Notamacropus eugenii: one gene and its partner. The protein of the gene in region 1 purifies or fractionates together with the protein of each later gene. This does not show direct contact. Links are inferred from orthologs where the notes say so. Each region holds a gene or a part of one and is shown on either strand. Other genes may lie near its edges.

Evidence for each region.
Region 2: the proteins of RNF25 (region 1) and UBE2E2 purify together in Homo sapiens (affinity purification with mass spectrometry; 3 studies listed by BioGRID and IntAct, counting the BioPlex papers as one, with this or other methods). This does not show direct contact. The link is inferred for Notamacropus eugenii from reciprocal best matches to the Homo sapiens genes RNF25 and UBE2E2.

What each region holds. Positions count from the first base shown.
Region 1 is NC_092877.1:317,171,648-317,180,739, reverse strand, and holds the start of RNF25 (E3 ubiquitin-protein ligase RNF25), read left to right. Parts: upstream 1-5,739; coding exon 5,740-5,951; intron 5,952-7,500; coding exon 7,501-7,575; intron 7,576-7,833; coding exon 7,834-7,936; intron 7,937-8,027; coding exon 8,028-8,095; intron 8,096-8,231; coding exon 8,232-8,301; intron 8,302-9,092. Other genes in the region: STK36 (serine/threonine-protein kinase 36), read right to left, coding at 1-9, 113-206, 964-1,151, 1,351-1,520, 1,739-1,832, 2,905-3,154, 3,509-3,639, 4,165-4,242 and 2 more. UniProt on the Homo sapiens protein: E3 ubiquitin-protein ligase that plays a key role in the RNF14-RNF25 translation quality control pathway, a pathway that takes place when a ribosome has stalled during translation, and which promotes ubiquitination and degradation of translation factors on stalled ribosomes.
Region 2 is NC_092874.1:31,287,609-31,295,902, forward strand, and holds the start of UBE2E2 (ubiquitin-conjugating enzyme E2 E2), read right to left. Parts: upstream 3,382-8,294; 5' UTR 3,085-3,381; intron 2,611-3,084; exon of another isoform or gene 2,460-2,610; intron 1-2,459.

The DNA of each region.
Region 1 (9,092 bases):
GTCTGGCTCCTGGCCCAGGGAGAAGGGAAGGGGCGTTAAGGGGTCTGGAAGCCTGAGGATGTATCATCAGATGGGGACTTCCCAGGCAAGAAGTCATTCACCAGCATCTCACCTCAAGCTCCAAGGTCACAGCATTCATGTTTTCCTCAGTTTCTTGTTTTAGTTCTGGGAACTCCTGATCATATTCCTGGGTGACCTGGGGTTCTCTGTCAGGGAAGATACTGAAGAAACTGAGCTCCAGTTCTGAGAGGCACAGGGTACATGAACCATCCCCTCCCCCAAACCTCAAACAGAAAGTGGAAAAAGCCATGTGAGGCTATCGATGTGGACATGTCTTCTTTTAAGATGTGTTCAAGATAAGAAATTCTACCACAGTGGGAGAATCTCCTTGGGCAGAACACTGCCTGCCCACCCAGCCACCCACCGATTCAAGCCTTCTCTAGCATTTTGCATCTAAGGGTTCCAATGGCTACACCGTTATCCCTTCCACATTACAACATTCCCCATCATGGTTTCTATACATCACAGGTTGGCAAAAGAAATTAAATGATAACTTTTGGGGAGTTTTGCAGAAGCCACAGTCGACACACAATGGCCAGCAGATGACACAAAAAATACTTAACCCAAATTTTACAATAAGGTTCTGTAAACACCCCATAAAAAAAAAAGAAAAAATTCAGACTTCTCTGGTACAAAAGGAGGGCCAAAAAATTTTACACAGATTTTTCCAGATTGTGGGGATGACACACCCCTAACCCCTGCAATGTGGAAAGGATAACTGTAGTTAATCTTATGATGGAAATAATTTTCTTCCCTTCAGTTGGGAATCCTGAGCCACAAGGACTGCCTTTACAAGATTAGTCCTAAGAGCTGGTGACCACACTGTGCTTCCTCTGACCAGGGCTGAGCCCACTGCAAGTACCTAACCACTTCTCCAGTCTGTGGCTACATCTGCCTTCTTACCCAGTAGGAAGGGGAGGCTCACTAGCTCCCCAATCTGCCCACTCATTCTTGTCTTCTAGGGAAGGATCACCAGAGCAGAGTTCAAGATCCTGAGAAGTGGCTCTCAGGCTGGGCAAGAAGGCTGTAGCAGGATCCACCTTGCTTGCTTTGTCTACTTGCTCAAGGGAAACTCCAGGGTTTAAATGTTTCTATGGGGGGAATTAGATTGGAGAGACTTGGTCAACACAGGATTACCTGAAGCTTGTCCTAAGACTTCTCCAAATTCTAGAAACTCTTGTTCCTTCTCCAATTTCCTATGGCGAGTGCAGTCACCTCTCCGGCCCTCTCCAATGCAAATTTCCTCCCTCCTCAAGAAAATGACTTGGATTTCACCTCTGTCCCAAATACCTTCTGCCTAGCCTCCTCAGCCATGTGCTTTCGGGCTTGGCGCAAAATACGGGACTGACCAGACTTGGGGGCCAGGCAGTGTGCCTGTTCTTCCTTTAGAACCTGAAGCTCTGGGGGTAGTCTTCTGGTGAACGGGGTTCCCAGATCAGCAGCCACTGGTTCAGAAATCACTGCAGAGGGACAGTTGGAGAGAATGCCATGTTGGAATTCAAGGAGGGCAAAATGATAGCTAAAGCCCTAGCCTAAAAAGGTTTGAGGTACAACAAGGGAATAAAGGCTGTACAAAATCAAAGGATTCCCTTCCAACTCTTGAGATTCTGTGACCATTGTGTGATGGGATCCAGGAAATGGAGGTCAAACAAGGTCCTGCAGATGGAATAGAACTCACCAGTGACTCGGCCAGCAATGAATGGATGGTACAAGAGCTCAGGCCAAGCCAGCCGCTGATGAGGATCCTTGGTGAGCAGTCCCTGCAGGAAACTCTATGGGGAAAGTACTCCATCACTCTTCCCTTCTGCCTTCAGCATCCCTTTCCCCAAACCAAGGAGTATACCATCCTCCCCTCATAACTGGAAGGCTCCTCCCCTCCAATTCCTAGAATTTCTGGTTTCCTTTCAGGAGAAAGGCATTTTTCTTGGCCACCCTACCAGCTGCTTGTACCATCTCCTCTAAGGCTATTTCATATCTGACTTAGACTTGTTTGTGGTATACCTGTTTCCACCCCCATTATACATTCCCTGAGCACAGGAACAATCTCACTTCTGTCTCAGTATCCCCAGGTACACTGCACAAAATGATGGCTCAATACATGCTAGAATGATTATTTTCGGAGTAGCTGGGCTGGTCTTGGTCGCATCCCTGCCACTGGTTCTCAATGAGCATTGTTTCTGTTTTCAGAAGGTAGAACAGACCCCCTGGGTCTCAACACATGAATGTTGGGAGCCTCAGTTCCACTGGCCTCAGAAGAGAAGAGTACCTGTGTATGTACTCATTGTTCCCCTTGCTAGAACTTGAACTTCTGGCAGAGGGTGTTTCTCTTCTGTCTCTATTTCCACAGTACCTGACGTAGTCAGCACTTAATAGATTCTCAATGATCAGTCAATTGATTGAAAAAAAATGAGGGAAAGAAATTTCGACACTGCTGGCATCTCTGCCAGTAAAGCCCCTTGAAGGGCATCCCCTACAACTCATCTATTCCTATGTTCAATTAATCAGCATGTAATTCTGGAGCAGAGGAAATCAATTCATGGTAAAAGAAAAATGTTACAGGCTAAAGAGAGGGCCAAAATGGCCAAGGTTAGATGGCAGTACACTGATTCCCAAGTCACAGTAAAAGCTCAGCCCCAGGACAGAAGCAGAGAGACCATCTCTGAGACAGTCAGCACCTGCATTTCCCATCCATCTTCAACAATCAATGACAAATGATTTTTATTCAAATTCTGCCACAAACCCAGAAAAGGGCATTGGGAAAAAGGAAATAGATTTCCAGGAAAAGATCTTCTTTTCCTTGTCCTAACTTCCCCCTTCCCCACTCCATCGTATCCATATTCCCACCTTAAAGCATTGGCTTATTGTAGAAGGCCATCGCACTGGGTCCTTTAAGATTAGGCTAACAAGCTGGAAGATGCTGGTCGTGTAGAAAGGTGGTGTACCCACAGCCAGTTCATAAAGAATGCAGCCCACTGACCATAAGTCAGCAGTGTGGTCATATGGACGCTCTTCCACCAGCTCTGGGGACATGTACAATGGTGTGCCTTTGATGGATGTCAATACCATTGTATTTGTACTCATGGCACGGGCAAAACTGGGAGAGAGAGAGTGGGAGAAGGGGAAGGAAGAGGATTAACGGCATAAGGTGAGAAGTTGTACAAGAAAAGTCAAATCTGACTTCATACATACCCATCACAAACCAGACCAAGAAAAAGTCTTTAACCCTAACCCTTTCTCACTCCTATTCAGCCAAACTGTTCCTCCAACCTAACTAAAAAGAATCTCCCTTGATTTGGCTCCCTAGAGTCCAGAAGAATCCCTCCTCCCACCAACCCCAATACTGAAACAAGTTTCTCAAATCAAACCCTTAATCTAGTCTAGCCCATCAATCTACAGGGGACCCCATTTTCCTCCCCCAGAGGAGCAACAGGATGTCTGGGATTCCCACCCAAAGTCACAGAGCTTGATGCCACCACCCTTGGCTAGAAGAATATTCTGAGGCTTCATGTCACGATGCAGGATACGGTGGGAGTGCAGATAATATAGGGCTGATACCAACTGAGCTGCAATGGCCTGAACCTAAGGATCAACCAATCAGGAAGAAAGAGAGAAACAAGAAAAGGAAATAAGTGAATCTGAAGTTGTTCACTCTGAGCTATCCTACTGCTAATTCAAATGGTTCTGCTGATGGACTCCTTTACCAGCTTTCTCAAACCTCTATTTTCTGTTCCCCTTGAAGCTCCCTCACCCCCCAAGAGCCTAGCTCTGCTAAGGTCCCTTACTCCATGGGTTCCCAGTACAATATTTGCTAAGTCAGAACACAGAGAAACTCAAAAATTAGAACAGTTAATGATGAAAACTCAGGCAAATCATAGTCCTGCAACTTGGAAGTGATATGGGCAGGGTAGGTAGGAATCCCATCTGACTCTTCCCTCTCAGTCTTCTTAGGACACCATCAACTCCCACCAGACCAGTACCTCTCTAATGATACTTAGGATACTATAACTCCTTTCAGCCCCCAAAATGTTAGATTCCCAGTGCTCCGAACCCTGTCTACTAGTCCTGATCAGTGGGGAGACTGGGCAGAAGGCAAGTCAGGGATACCTGGTCCTCAGGCAGCTTCCCATCATCTTCTAAGATCTGAAAGAGCTCCCCTTCAGCATAGTCTGTTACTACCACTACCTGTGGGGAGAACATGAATACAGATTTAACTCAAGACATCAAGAGATAGGAACATTCTCCCCTATATACCAAACCCTGGGACCCCTATGATAGGATCTGGAGATGGGGAAAAGGACTAACCTTCACTTACCTCCTTGTCGGTTTCAAAGCTGTCGAGCATCTGTACAATGTTGGGATGCCTCAGACCCCGCATGATTTCAATTTCCCGCTGTAGGTTCCTCAGCTCTTTTTCTGAGCGCCCCAACTTTGGAATGAACTTCAGAGCCACCACCTTCCCAAGGCAAGAAGAGAAGAGTTCAGGGCCTTCCCTGAAAGAAGCTTCTTGCTTTGTGTGGCTCTTTCCTCAGCATCACCTTCAGCTCTCCAAAATCCAACTTTTATGCCAGTTTCTTGCCTTCCTTCTCTCCACAATCCCATGAGCTTGAGCCAAGCTTCCCTGAACCCACTCCTCAAACGGCAATATCTCCCTGAAAAAAGGCCTTCTAGTTGCTCTGTGCCCATCCTGGGGTCATAAAGATAAGACTGTTTGACATCTGTTCAAGTCTTAGAAAGAGTTATTTGGAGAATGGAGGAAAAGGAAGAAAAGAAGGAGAAAGAGAAGTGGGGCTGGCATCTCTTTCTAGCTCAACTAAAACTCTCAGGAAGATGAATTCTCCCATTTAGGACCAGTTCCCAACCAAAAGAGATGCTGAGAGATCCTCAGCTGATCCGGGCTAAATTTTGATCCCTTTAACAGTGTTCTTCCTTTCAGAGAACATCCCCTCTCTCCTAAGTACCTGGGCACTGTATTTTTTCCGACCCTTGTACACTCTTCCAAAGGAGCCCTCGCCAATCATTTCCAGCACGTGGTACTTCTCCATCATCAAGGCTCCAGATCTCTGGGTCTGAAGGAGGGAGAGCTGATTAAGCTTAGTAGCCCCTGGGGCAATTCCACAAACTTGGGAGTCCTGGGGGGCGGGAGGCAACACAGATTCGAATGAGAAGACATGGGGAGCGGTGCTATTTCCTCTCTTATTCCTGCCCCCCACCCTCCTCAGCCTCATTCTAACTAGCCAGCCCTGTCCCTGCCCCCCACCCTCCTCAGCTTGGCCCCAGATCTCAGCCCCAGACCCCAGCCTCAGGAGCCCTGACCCTTGACCTCCTACCGCCAGGGGTCTGTGTCAGGCCTCCCCCCACCCCCAACCTCTCCAGGCCTGAAACAAGATAAATGGGCTCCCTCCCTCACCAGCTGGTCCCCTTGACCCCGGGCCCCTGGGCCTCGCCAGCCCCCCCTAACTACCCCCCACCTTGGAGCTAGAGCTCCCCAGGCCGCGGGACCCGGGCCGGGCTCCGCCCCCGCCCCCCGGGCAGCCCCTCCAGGTTGCCAGACCGAGTTAGTTCGCAGCGCCGGCAGGAGGTCTCCCCGAAGGGCCCTTTCCCCTCCCTCTCCCTCCCTCAGAGGCGGGCCGAGGCCCCCGGGCCAGGGCGACGCGGAGGGAGGGCTTAGCGGCCCGCTCCATGGAGGCAATTCTGCAGGCAGCTCCGAACCGTCGCCCCGCCGCCTCAGGCCCCGCTGAGGACCCCGGCGTCCACGGTCGCCTAGCAACGGCGGCTGGTGGCCGGGCCCTCGGCCTCTCCGCCTCCAGGCCTGGGGGAAGGCACTTCCGGTTCCGGCGCAGGCAGCGGGAGGAGATGGCGGCGGCCGCGGCGGCAGCTGGGGAGGAGGACTGGTAACTGCCGGGGACGCGGGACCTGGCTGACGGCCGCTCCCGGCCTGGGGCGGGGCGGGTCCACGGCCGCCCCCCGGAGGCCCGGGGGTAGATTTGAGGGGGACGGAACTCGAAGGCGGGGCACCCCGGGGGTCGGGCCGCCGAGCCGGCCCACGCCCCCAGCCTCGTCCGCCCGGGTGTCCGCCTCCTGATGGCCCCGAGCCCCACGGGAGCGGGCCAGGCCCCCCGCGACCCCAGCCGAGCGCCGGCTCCTCCGCCCCCACGACCTCCTGCAGCGGCGGGACCCAGGGCCGGGCCGTGGCGAGGGCGGCTCCGGGGCCGTCCGGGAGAGCCAAAGCTCGGGGGGCCCAGCCGGGGCGAGGACTAGTGGCGTCCCCGCCGTCCCCCACCCCCACCCTTCCGCCGTGCCCCGCGTTGGTAGGCATCGATGTGGGGGATGCAGGCGCCCCCAAGCGTCCCGGGCTTCTAGCATGGGCGGAGTGCTGGGCACAGCCGAGCTAGTCGCCGGGATCGGGCATCCTGCTGCTGTCACCAAACACCCTGTTATTAAAGAGGCGTGGGCCTGACCCCCGGGCGGCCGCAGGTGGGGCCGTGCGGGCACGTCGAAGGCGTTTTGCTGACCAGCCATCCCTTTCTCTCCTCTTGTTTTAGAGCCAGGAATTTGGGGGAGAGAGAGGAAGAAATACTTTCCCCAAAGCCTGTGACTGCTTCAGTTTTGAACACCCATAGGAACAGGCCTGGACTTAAGAGCCCGTGAAGGGTCTCGGATACCTGATAATTCTATTGGGGACTACGGTGCCACATACCAGCATTCCTGTTTCTGGTTTAGAGCAGTGGTGAGGTGGTAGGATCACAGATTTAGCACTAGAAGCCTTGTGAATACAACTCCCTCGCATAAAAAATAAGTTTACTTGCCCAAGACTGTGAATAACACAGCTTAGATTTGAACCTGTTACCTCTCAACTCGAATAGACACCAAAAGGCCAACTGGTTTGTGTACCTGAAGGCCTGGATTCTCATGCTAGCTTTGCCTCTTATCAATTATGTGACCTTAGACAAGTCACAGTTTTTCTTTCTAGTCTATAAGATGAAAGAGTTGGATTTTGAGGCTCCTTCATGCTCTACAATTCTGTTTTTATTACTATTACTCACTTTTGTTTCCTCCCATCTTAAAGTAGGTATGGAAAAGGAGTGACCTGGGACCTAAGAGATGTCCTTGAACTGCTGTGCTTCTCAAAACAGCAAGGTCTCTCCTCTTGGGCCCTGATTGGGCCCCTGTTTGGGAAAAGGAGGGTCTCTTAATGTTTCTCCATTTTGAGGAAGCTTACAGAAAGATAGCAACAAATATGAATTTTCTATATGGTTATAAAAATCCCCAAGCCTGTGATAGCTATGAAAAATGATCCCCAACTTGTGGAAAAGGAAGATTGAAAACGGCATAGAACCTTAAACTGCCAACCCTCCTCTTCAGTACCCTCTAGGACAAGCATCCTTCCTCATGGGACTACAGTAAGGAAGGATATGGTACATCAGCCATCTCTTTCCCCAGGGTTCTACCCTCTGAAGTGGAGGTATTGGAGTCTATCTACCTGGATGAATTACAGGTGGTTCAAGGAAATGGAAGGTGAGTACCCAGCTGGGACTGAGAAGGGCTTCTGAGAGCAATAAGGGAATGATATTTACTCAGACCATCATCTAGTCCTAAGAGAATGTGAGAAGTGGAGGAAACTGTTTCTCAAAGAAACAAGAGTGATACCTTTAACTTACCATAGGACAGATTCCCTTCTCATTTCTCTAGGGAGGGAATTCTCAACTCATCCCACCCCTCACCCCCCAGTTCCCACTCAGTCACATCTTGGATCATCATACTGACCACCCACAGGTCTTCACCATGGGAAATCTGCATCACTCTGCACCCTGCCACAGCTGAAGACCAGGATTCACAGTTTGTCTGCTTTACCTTGGTGTTGCTGGTCCCTGCACAGGTGAGGTGCCTACTGGGTGACCACAAATCGGGGAGAAATGCTGGGGTATGGAAAGAGGGCACTACATACTGATCTGGTCTCTTTTTTCCAGTATCCCAATGAGGTGCCTAAGATCTCTATCCGTAACCCACGAGGGCTGTCAGATGAACAGATTCTCAAGTAAGTGTTGCTTAGACTAACATAAGATAGAACTAGGGCACGTCTCACACAGGTTAAGGGTACCAACATAGAATATTTCTTTTTCAAGAAGTGGAAAGGAATTTTCCTAACATTGAGGTTGGGTTTTCTTTTCTAGGATCTCACAGGCACTGAGTTGTGTGGCTGAGGCTGGATTAGGCACTGCTGTGCTCTATGAACTCATTGAGGTGAGCTGGGCCCTAGGGAGACCTCCCTTCTTTCATGCCAAAACAAGTTTTAGCCATGGGTCCAGAATAGGAGTGGGGAACCTGTGACCTCTAAGCCACATGTGGCCCTTTGAATCCAAACTTCACAGAACAAGTCCTCTTAATTAAAGGATTTGTTCTGTAAAATTCAGTCCAGAGACCACACCCAGGGACCTAGGAGGCCACATGTGGTCTCAAGGCTGAAGGTTCTCTGTTCTAGAACCATTCTCCCAAAGTAGTTTAGCCCTTTCCCTCCCTTTGGGTAAAACTGGTCCAAGTTGATGAAAGTCATGTTTTAAAAGCCCTCTAAAGGTGGAGATTCTACAAGCTTCTTCATTTGTTTACTTCAGTATCTTATCTAAAAGTCTAAAGGAATATTTTTTGTCTACCAAAGTACTTCATGCATTCCCTATTTTTTTCTCAGTGGTAAGAGAAAAGTAGCTTTACAAGTGAATCATCTTTACGTCTGATACTTTCAGTTTAAGATAGTGTGTGCACTGGTGCTGCTAGCGATAGAAAGGAAACAGAAGACAGTCCCTATACTCAAAACTTACAGACCATCCACAAAGCAACACCTCACGTTTACATTAGCATTTTAATATTTAAGAGAGGGGGGAAGACAGAGGAGGGAAGCAAAGACAGAGATCGTAAGAGAGATTTCCTCTTCTCTAGACCACACTGCCTCGTACCATATCTTAGCAACATGATCAAGGGCAAATTAAAAATATCACAGCTCTTACTTAAAGACTTTACTTATTATGATTATCCTTTGG
Region 2 (8,294 bases), on another chromosome or scaffold:
CCTAGGTCCCCTGACTCCAAATTTTGCTCACTTTCTACTACCCTCCAGGTCCTCCCTTTTATATTTGTTTCAGCAAGCTGTCTTCATTTGTTATCTTCTCAATAAATATTCACACACAGAATTTGGAACTCAAAATTAAAAAAACAAACAAATAAGAAATGTTAAAAATTGCTTTTACATGTAACTGGGAAAAAATAAAATGTTAAATATATTTTTAAAAGAAAAAATGAATATTCACATATAAATGTCTGCAGAGTATATCTAAAGGGTCATGATATGACAGCAGCCCACAATTTGAAATCAACATTTAGATTATAGAAATAACTAGCATTTATGTAACACTAAGGTTTGCAAATCACCGTCCCATATGCTATCTGGTTTGACAGAAACTTTCACACATTGATCTAGACAAAGACGAAAAAAACAAAAAGAAATTACTATCACAAGGCAGAAACTTAAACATACTTTAAACATTTTTCAGACAAATGCAGACATTTTTGTAATATGCTTTCTTGAAGATGAAAAAAATGTGCTTCAGGACCGTATTTATGGAAGGTACATTATCTTGTCAAAATCTCAAACGGCCAAAGGGTGTGAACTCCTCTGACCACTGCCAAGTTTAGATGTAAACAAATACTTAATACATTGCATCTCCTTTCCAAATAGAATAAAATGAATTGTTTCTGACTATGTTTTTGGAATTTTCGATTAGAAAAAAATTATGGGCAAAGCTGATTGCCTTTCCCCAGTGCAACTAATTTCCAAAAAGAGAAAGTACTTTTTAGAACAGTCTTAATTTAATTTAAATGTAGAAAAGGGGTGTTTTGTTGAATCTCCAAAATAAAAATCAACCACATTCCTGAATTTGAAAACCTCAGACTCCTGAAATCATCTTCTTGGGAATTAGGGTTTTAAAAAATAATTCACATTTTTACCAAGGCAAATTCCTAGGTATTAGCCAGTTTTTTAACCTAGAAAGATAAACAAACCCCAAGGCTATGAATGCAGAGCTCCCTTACAATAGCAGTCTGAAACTGGTTACAATTTTCAAAAGGTTATTTTGATTTTATAGCCATCCCACCTTCATTTACCTTCAGAAACAAAATATGATGTAGTATTTCCTAAACAACTCAGAATCATGGTATTTTATATGAAAGTTTGTATATTGACCTTTCCTGAACATATTTACTTTAAGAAACTCACAAACTGTTCAAGTTTACAAAACATTCTGTATTCAACTACAGTCCTGAAATTAGCAAAATATTTCTAATGCAGCCCACATGTTCACTGAATCTCAAGTGCAATGATTCTGGTATAAATATTACTTCTAACTGGAAAAAAAAATCACTTTCACTCCATGAGGCCAGGTTACCATCCAAGAGATAAATGTTCTGACAGTAGCCCACAGTGTGTAATTATAATAACAAGTCATGCCAGCTTTTTTTTTTAACAGGAAAATGCCTAGTTTGTCATTTAATGTCTAGCTGTTTTCTGTTCGTGTTTTTTCCCTTCTGCCCTTTTCAAAACAAAGGGTTAGTCCATTTCTCCATTTCTACTATGTACAAAAGCTATCACAATCCAAATTGAAGCAAAACTGCATTTAATTCCATTCAAATGAAACAGTTACCAAGCACCTTCAAAGAGCCAAGGTCTAGGGATAGAAGACCGAAAGAGGACAGACAGTTCCTTACCCTGGAAGGGCTTACATTCTACCTGCACAAAGAGAAGTAATACAATGTGATTTGAGGAAGGAGAAACACTAAAAGCCATAGGGAAAGTGAGGTACTTGATCTTGCATTTCTTTAGGAAACATAAGAAATTCTATCTATACCAGATAAATGGGAAAAGATAGGATGAGCATAGGAATAAGTGGGGAAATCTACAATTTTATGAAAACTTTCATACATGATGTCCACACATACACACAAAACTGCTAAGAACCAGAAAGTTTCAATACTGTCTAGGTCAAGAAGTATCTTATTATCTCGAAGGTCTTGGGTGAATTACTAGACATTTAGAAATATCCCACTAAAAAAGAAACTAGGCATGCATACGTACTCCCAAAGAAAGCTTAACCTTTGTACATGATGGGAAATAATTTGAGGTTCAGTCTTAGTACTTCTCTTTACACTTTTAAGTAAACATATGATGAGGCACCTTGTTAAAAACAAAAAAACAGCTACACAGAAAGATGAATCCTGGAAACATGCAAATAGGTCCAGCAGAGAGAGTGCCTGGGATCACGTCTCTCTCTCTCCCCTTTCTCTGTGTCTCTTCTATTTGTCTCTCTCTCCCTCTCTCTCTCTCTCTCTCTCTCTCTCTCTCTCTCCCCCTCTCCCTCCCCCCCCTCCCCCCCGCTTGGTCCCGCAAAGAAGCAGTACTCCATCTTCCTTAGCAAAGGTAAGAGGCAAAATGATCACAACAGTTGTGGGGAGGGAGAACCCCCCCACCAAACAAACCCAGGGAATTCCGGTTTCCAAGCAGGCTGTAGAGGAACAAAAATGTGCCGTGTGCCCCTGCTCCAAAGTGTGCCAGGCACCAGGCTGCACAAAAGACCAATCCACCCCCCCGGTCCACACCGACACACACGTACACCAAGCGCCAGGTCTTTTCCTGCCTGGCCAACGGGTGTGTGTTGGGGGGTGGGGGGAAAGGGAGGAGATGGAAGGGAACCAGAGAAGTCACATGTCACGGAGAAGATACAATGTGCAATCATCTGGCAATTAGAGAGAATCTCCCAAGATTAAACTGGACACTTTTCAACCTGACATTTCTGCTGTACTTTCCAAAGACTTAGTTGCCAGAGCCTGGGGGAGGGGAGGGGGGAGGGGGGAGGGGGCAGGGAGGCTGGAGAAGGATGGGTAGAGGAGGACGAGGGCTGGGCAGACGAGGGGGAGGGGAAGGGGTCGGAGGGGGATGGGGGAAAGAAGGGGGGCGGCGGAGGACAAGGGCAGAGGGAGGAGGAAGAAAGTAGGAGAAGATGGAAAAGAGGGGGGGGGAAATGGGGCAGGAGCCGGGAGTGAGGGGGTGGCAGGGGGCGGGCGGGGGAGGGGCGGGGGACCGCGGCCGCCCCCGGCCGGTTACCTGGGCTGGGGAGAGGGGGCGCAGGTCGCCGTCTCGTGCCGCTCCCGGAGGAGAAGGAGGAGGAGGAGGAGGGGGAGGCAGGGGCGTCCGCCGGCCGCGGACTCAGGGACCCCCGGAGCCCCCCGGGGCCCGGCCGCTCTCCTCCCTCGCTCGCTCTAGCCCCGCTCTGGCTCCCGCCGCTCCCGCGTCCTTCCCCTCGGGCTCGGGCTTCGGCTGCTGCCGCCCCGGACTCTGGGAAAAGTGAATCCACCAGCACCTCGCGGACCGCGCCGCCTCCGCCCGCGCCCGCGCCCCCCGCGCCCGCGCCCGCGCCGCCGACGGCTCCGGCTCCCAGCCGTGCGCGCGCCCCACGTCCCCGGAGCGGCTCCCTCCCCGCCCCTCCCTCCCGGAGCCGGGCGCGCGCCCGAGCCAGGGGGCGGGGGCAGCCCCGGGAGGCGCGCGCCCGCCCGCGGGCACGAGGCTCCTCCCTCCCGGCGAGGGGCGGGGGCAGCATGGGGTCGGGGTGGGGGTGGGGGGGAAGAGAAAGCAAGAAAAAGTAAAGTGACAGCTGAGCCCCGCGCGCCGAGGGGGGAGGGGAGGCCGGCTGGGAGGAGCTCGGAGGGGGAGGGGTGGCCGGGGTGGGGGAGGGGAGAGGGGGCGAGGGGACCTTGGCAGGGACGTGGCGGGCGCGCGCGTTAAAGGGAAACACTGACAAGGAGGGGGAGGGGAAAAGAGTCAGAAAAAGGTGGGGGGCGGGGGGATGGGGTGGAGTGGAGAGCTTCTCCCGAGGAGTGGGCAGGACGGAGGTGGGGAGGAGAATGTGGGCCCAGAAAGTCACCCAGGAGCAAGAGAGAACCCCCCCATCTGTCTGTCTGTCCTTCCTCTCCTCTCCCCTCTCTATCACACACACACACACACACACACACACACACACACAGACACGCACACACACACAGACATACACACCCATAGACACACACAGACGTACACACATACACACCCATAGACACACACACACACACACACACACACACACACACACACACACACACACACACACACACACACACACACACACACACACACACACACACACACACACACCCCTTCCCATGCACATCGGGAATTCAAAAAAGTTTAGCCAGGCTGCTGACCTCTGAAACCCACAGGACTGGGGATAGGGGAGGGCATCGGGGCCTCCGGGCTGCGGGACCTCTCTCTGCCCCGGACCGCGCCGCCTCCCCACCCACGACCGAAGCCACCTGGGGGCCCTCCCGCCGGGGAGGATGGGGTCCGGGACTCCACCTTGAATGGGGTGTGCGGGAGTCAGGCCTCTCCAAATCCAGGACCCAGGCAGCTGCCGAGGCTGGGCAGCCGTGGGATCCGGACCAGCTCCGGGAAAGCTGCAGACCTAGTGTAATTATGCCAGACGAAGCCCTCCTGGTGACAAGGGCCAGAGTCCTGGGCGACACAGAGGCCGCAGGCTACAACTAGAGAAATCAGGGTAGGAAAATCCCGGGGGAAAACCACCCAAAGCCTAATTCCACATTCCCCGGATAAGAAAACCCTTTCCCCCAGTGACTCCTTCAAACAGGGCCAATCTCTCAAACCCCCTAAGCCACTGGTAGAATCAGGTGCTGAAAACTGACTTGACCAATAGAAAGAACCTAGACCTGTACATCGCTACAGGGCAAACTGGATGCCAGCTTTGTTTATCACTTAGAGCATTGGAGACATAAACCATTAAGAAAAAAGAATATTCTGGGATTAGAAATGGCATATCCTGGGATTATTAAACAGAAGATTCAGACTGCAAAAGCAGTGACATCAGTGTGAAAAGACAGATGTGGTTCTATAGGGAAATGAAAGAAGGAAAGGGAGGTGATACGCTCACATACATATGTATACATATACATGCATGCATAGAAATGCACAGAGATTGAAATCTCTAGTAAAAGTGCATTATCTAAACTTTTCCTGATCCTGAATATGTCATAATCTAAACAAATACAGCATTGAACAAAATTCATTAAATAATGGAATTTATTCTCCTGATTTATCTACAAGGTAGGAAGATGCATTATCTTTCTTCATAGAGCAGCAGTCACAGAAAGATTAAAGGTCTCAATATTTATTCAACTAGCTGGTGACAGGGGATGATAGAATCCCTGTCTCCCGGCTACATTAAAGCTGGGCTTCTCCTCCATCTAATAAGCTACTCTTATCTCCAACCAGTGATACTTTGTTGTCAATAGTATCATTTTTTACAATGAATGATGGATAACAAAATATCTCGCTATCAGAGAAAGTATCAAAATTGTTTTATTTTAACAAAGTCCTAGGATTGTTCATTCATCGCTATCAGCAGACCAACTGTAGAACTTTATCATGTCCCGTCCTTGTGAAAATAATGGATAATGTTTTATCCTTTCAAAAGCTAAAACTTTTGCTTCTATGTTATTTCATGAGGAGAGACTTGTGTGGCTATGTGGCTAGACCTTTGTGGCTCTACTCCCCAAGTCCAGTTCAGGAAAACATCACAAATTCAACTCCTTTTCTACCTCAGAGAACAGCCCTATAAACATTGCCATGGTGTGATAACTACAGTTCTTACAGAAATCTCCCAGAGTATTCTCTCACGGGAAAAACCAAATGATCTCCAAATAAATATCATCTCTTCTGTGTATTTCAGACTTAGGCCCATCAATCCTTCATGTCCATATTCATTTTGTCTCCTAATAATAACACTAAGAGCTCGTATTTTTATAGTGCTTTAAGATTTGCAAAAGCATTTTATAAATACAAATTCATTTCATCCTCACAACAACCCCTGAGAGGTAGCTGCTATTACTAACTCCCTTTTACAGTGGAGGAAACTGAGGCAGATGCGAAGTGACTTGTCCAGGGTCACATAGCTAGTGAGTGTGTTGGGCAGGATTTGAATTCAGCTCTTCCTAAGTATAGGGCAGCTAGGAGATAAAGTAGATAAAGTTCTGGACCTGCATGTAAAAGCAAGGACCCCAACATACACAGGAGGGCCTGCTACTTAGGTTCTTACATCTGCTTTTCTAAAAGGAAAGCAACTTTTGAGGGGTTAACAATCTCCTTTAATTGAGCACATATCATTCACCAATAGAGATAAATACCGCAAGAGAAATAAAGACTAGCAGACAGGCTTCCAACTCTCTAACCATAAGCAATACATATTTCACAGATTAACAGAAGGTCCAGCTGTCTGACCATAGCTACCAGAAAGGGAAGCACCAACTTCTGGGTTTTCAAAGCCCAGGGACTCAGTGGCTACCCAGAGTCTCATCTGGCCAAATAACCTTCTTCCAATGTGTGAGTCCTCACCTCAGTGTATTTATATGCTTTTCAGAGCCAGAGGGCATGACTCTCTGACCAGTGCCTCAACAGAAAAAAAAAAAGGTACTTCTACAAAACAACTCCCCTAATCAAGCTTCCCTTAATGGGCAGGCCCCTTAATGGGTGGAGAAGATCTTCTTTAATCATATCAAAATAATTAACAATACAAATACATATACTGTTTCTAGTTAAAGAAACTCTTGTTTCTGTACTTTACCCCCAGTAAAGACTCTTGGTCGATAAAGGCAAGATTCAAACGTAGGCACTTGATTATACTAAAACAAAAACAGCAAAAGATCCTACTTTGGTTGCCATTACACTGGAGTCAGGAAGACTTGTCTTCCTGAGTTCAAAACTGGCCTCAGACATTTACTATTTGGATAACCCTGGTCAAGTCACTTACCCCTGTTTGCCTCAGTTTCTTCATCTGTAAAATGAGCTGGAGAAGGAAATGGCAAACCACTCTAGGACTTCTACCAAGAAAACCCCAAATGGGGTCAAAGTACAAGCTCAGTACTCTAACTATTATCTCTCCCTTGTGTCAGAGGCAGGAATCAATCCCATATGTTCTGACACAGTACAGGATTTAGGGGAGACAATCTAAGTTTGAATCTCCATTCTGCCATTTTCTACCTGAGTGAATCTGAGAATCCTCTGACACCCATGTCAGTAAAATAAAAGGGTTGGACAAAATTACCTCTAAGATCCCTTCCAGTTCTAAATCTTTAACCCTATGATTCCAATACCTCCTGAATAAAGCGTTCAAGGCCTCGTTGGCTTGAGTTTACCCTTTAGTCTTATTTCATACCTATTTGCAGAGTTCCAGACAAAATCCATCTCTGTTTCTTGTCCTGTCATCTCCCATATCTTTCCTCATATTATTCCTCGGGTCTGGAATGGATCCTCACCAACATTCCTACCTCCATCTAATGCAGTCCTTCCCTCTCTGCCAAGGCCTAATTCGGGTGCCAACTTCTCCACTACCTCTTGATAACTCAAGATTAGCAGCCTGACAATCCATAGTGTAATTTTGAAAAGAATGGTGTTGATTGAAATTTAGTGATCATTGTGTTAGGGAGGATTAAAAACTCTGAATGGGGAGACATGCACCTGGATTTTACTCCTCATTCTGCTGTTCACTGTGTGACTTTGGGGAAGTCATTTCCCATCACTAATCTCAGTTTCCCACCCTAAAAAAGGTGGGGCTTGGAATAGAGGATTCCTAAGGTCCATTGCAGCTCACAATCTTTGATTTATGGAATACACTCTACAAACCATTTTTTTTTCAATTCATGGGCTAGAAAATTAAGTTCACCCTACTGATTGTATAAATACACTTAAAATGCTTTAATAATGTAAATCACATACGTCATTATTTTGGCTTATTTTCATAACAAGTCACTTTTACAAAGCATGCTAAGATCTACAGAGTCCTTTCTTCACAACAGTCTTTTAAGGTACATAATGCAAGTAATAGAGGTCCCATTTTATGGAAGAGCAAATGGAGACAGAGAGATTTGCCTGTGACCACGTAGCTTTAGTGTCAAAGATTAGATTCAAACTCGTCTTCAGACAGAGTACAGGATTTGAAGTCAGAGGATATGAGTTTGAATTCTGACTTGGTTTCTTAAATACCCATGCAATGTGGGACAAGTTGCGTACTATCCTAAAACAAAAGATTTCTTATCTGTCAAATGAGGGGATTGAATTAGATGGCTTTTAAAGTCCTTTCCTACTGTAAATCTATGATCCCAAGGACAACATTTCCCTTGCTATATTTTAGTATGTGATAAAATATTTTAAAAGGTATTGAGACATATTAAACTTTTTTTACTCATACATTATATTTTAGTTTGTGACCTCCC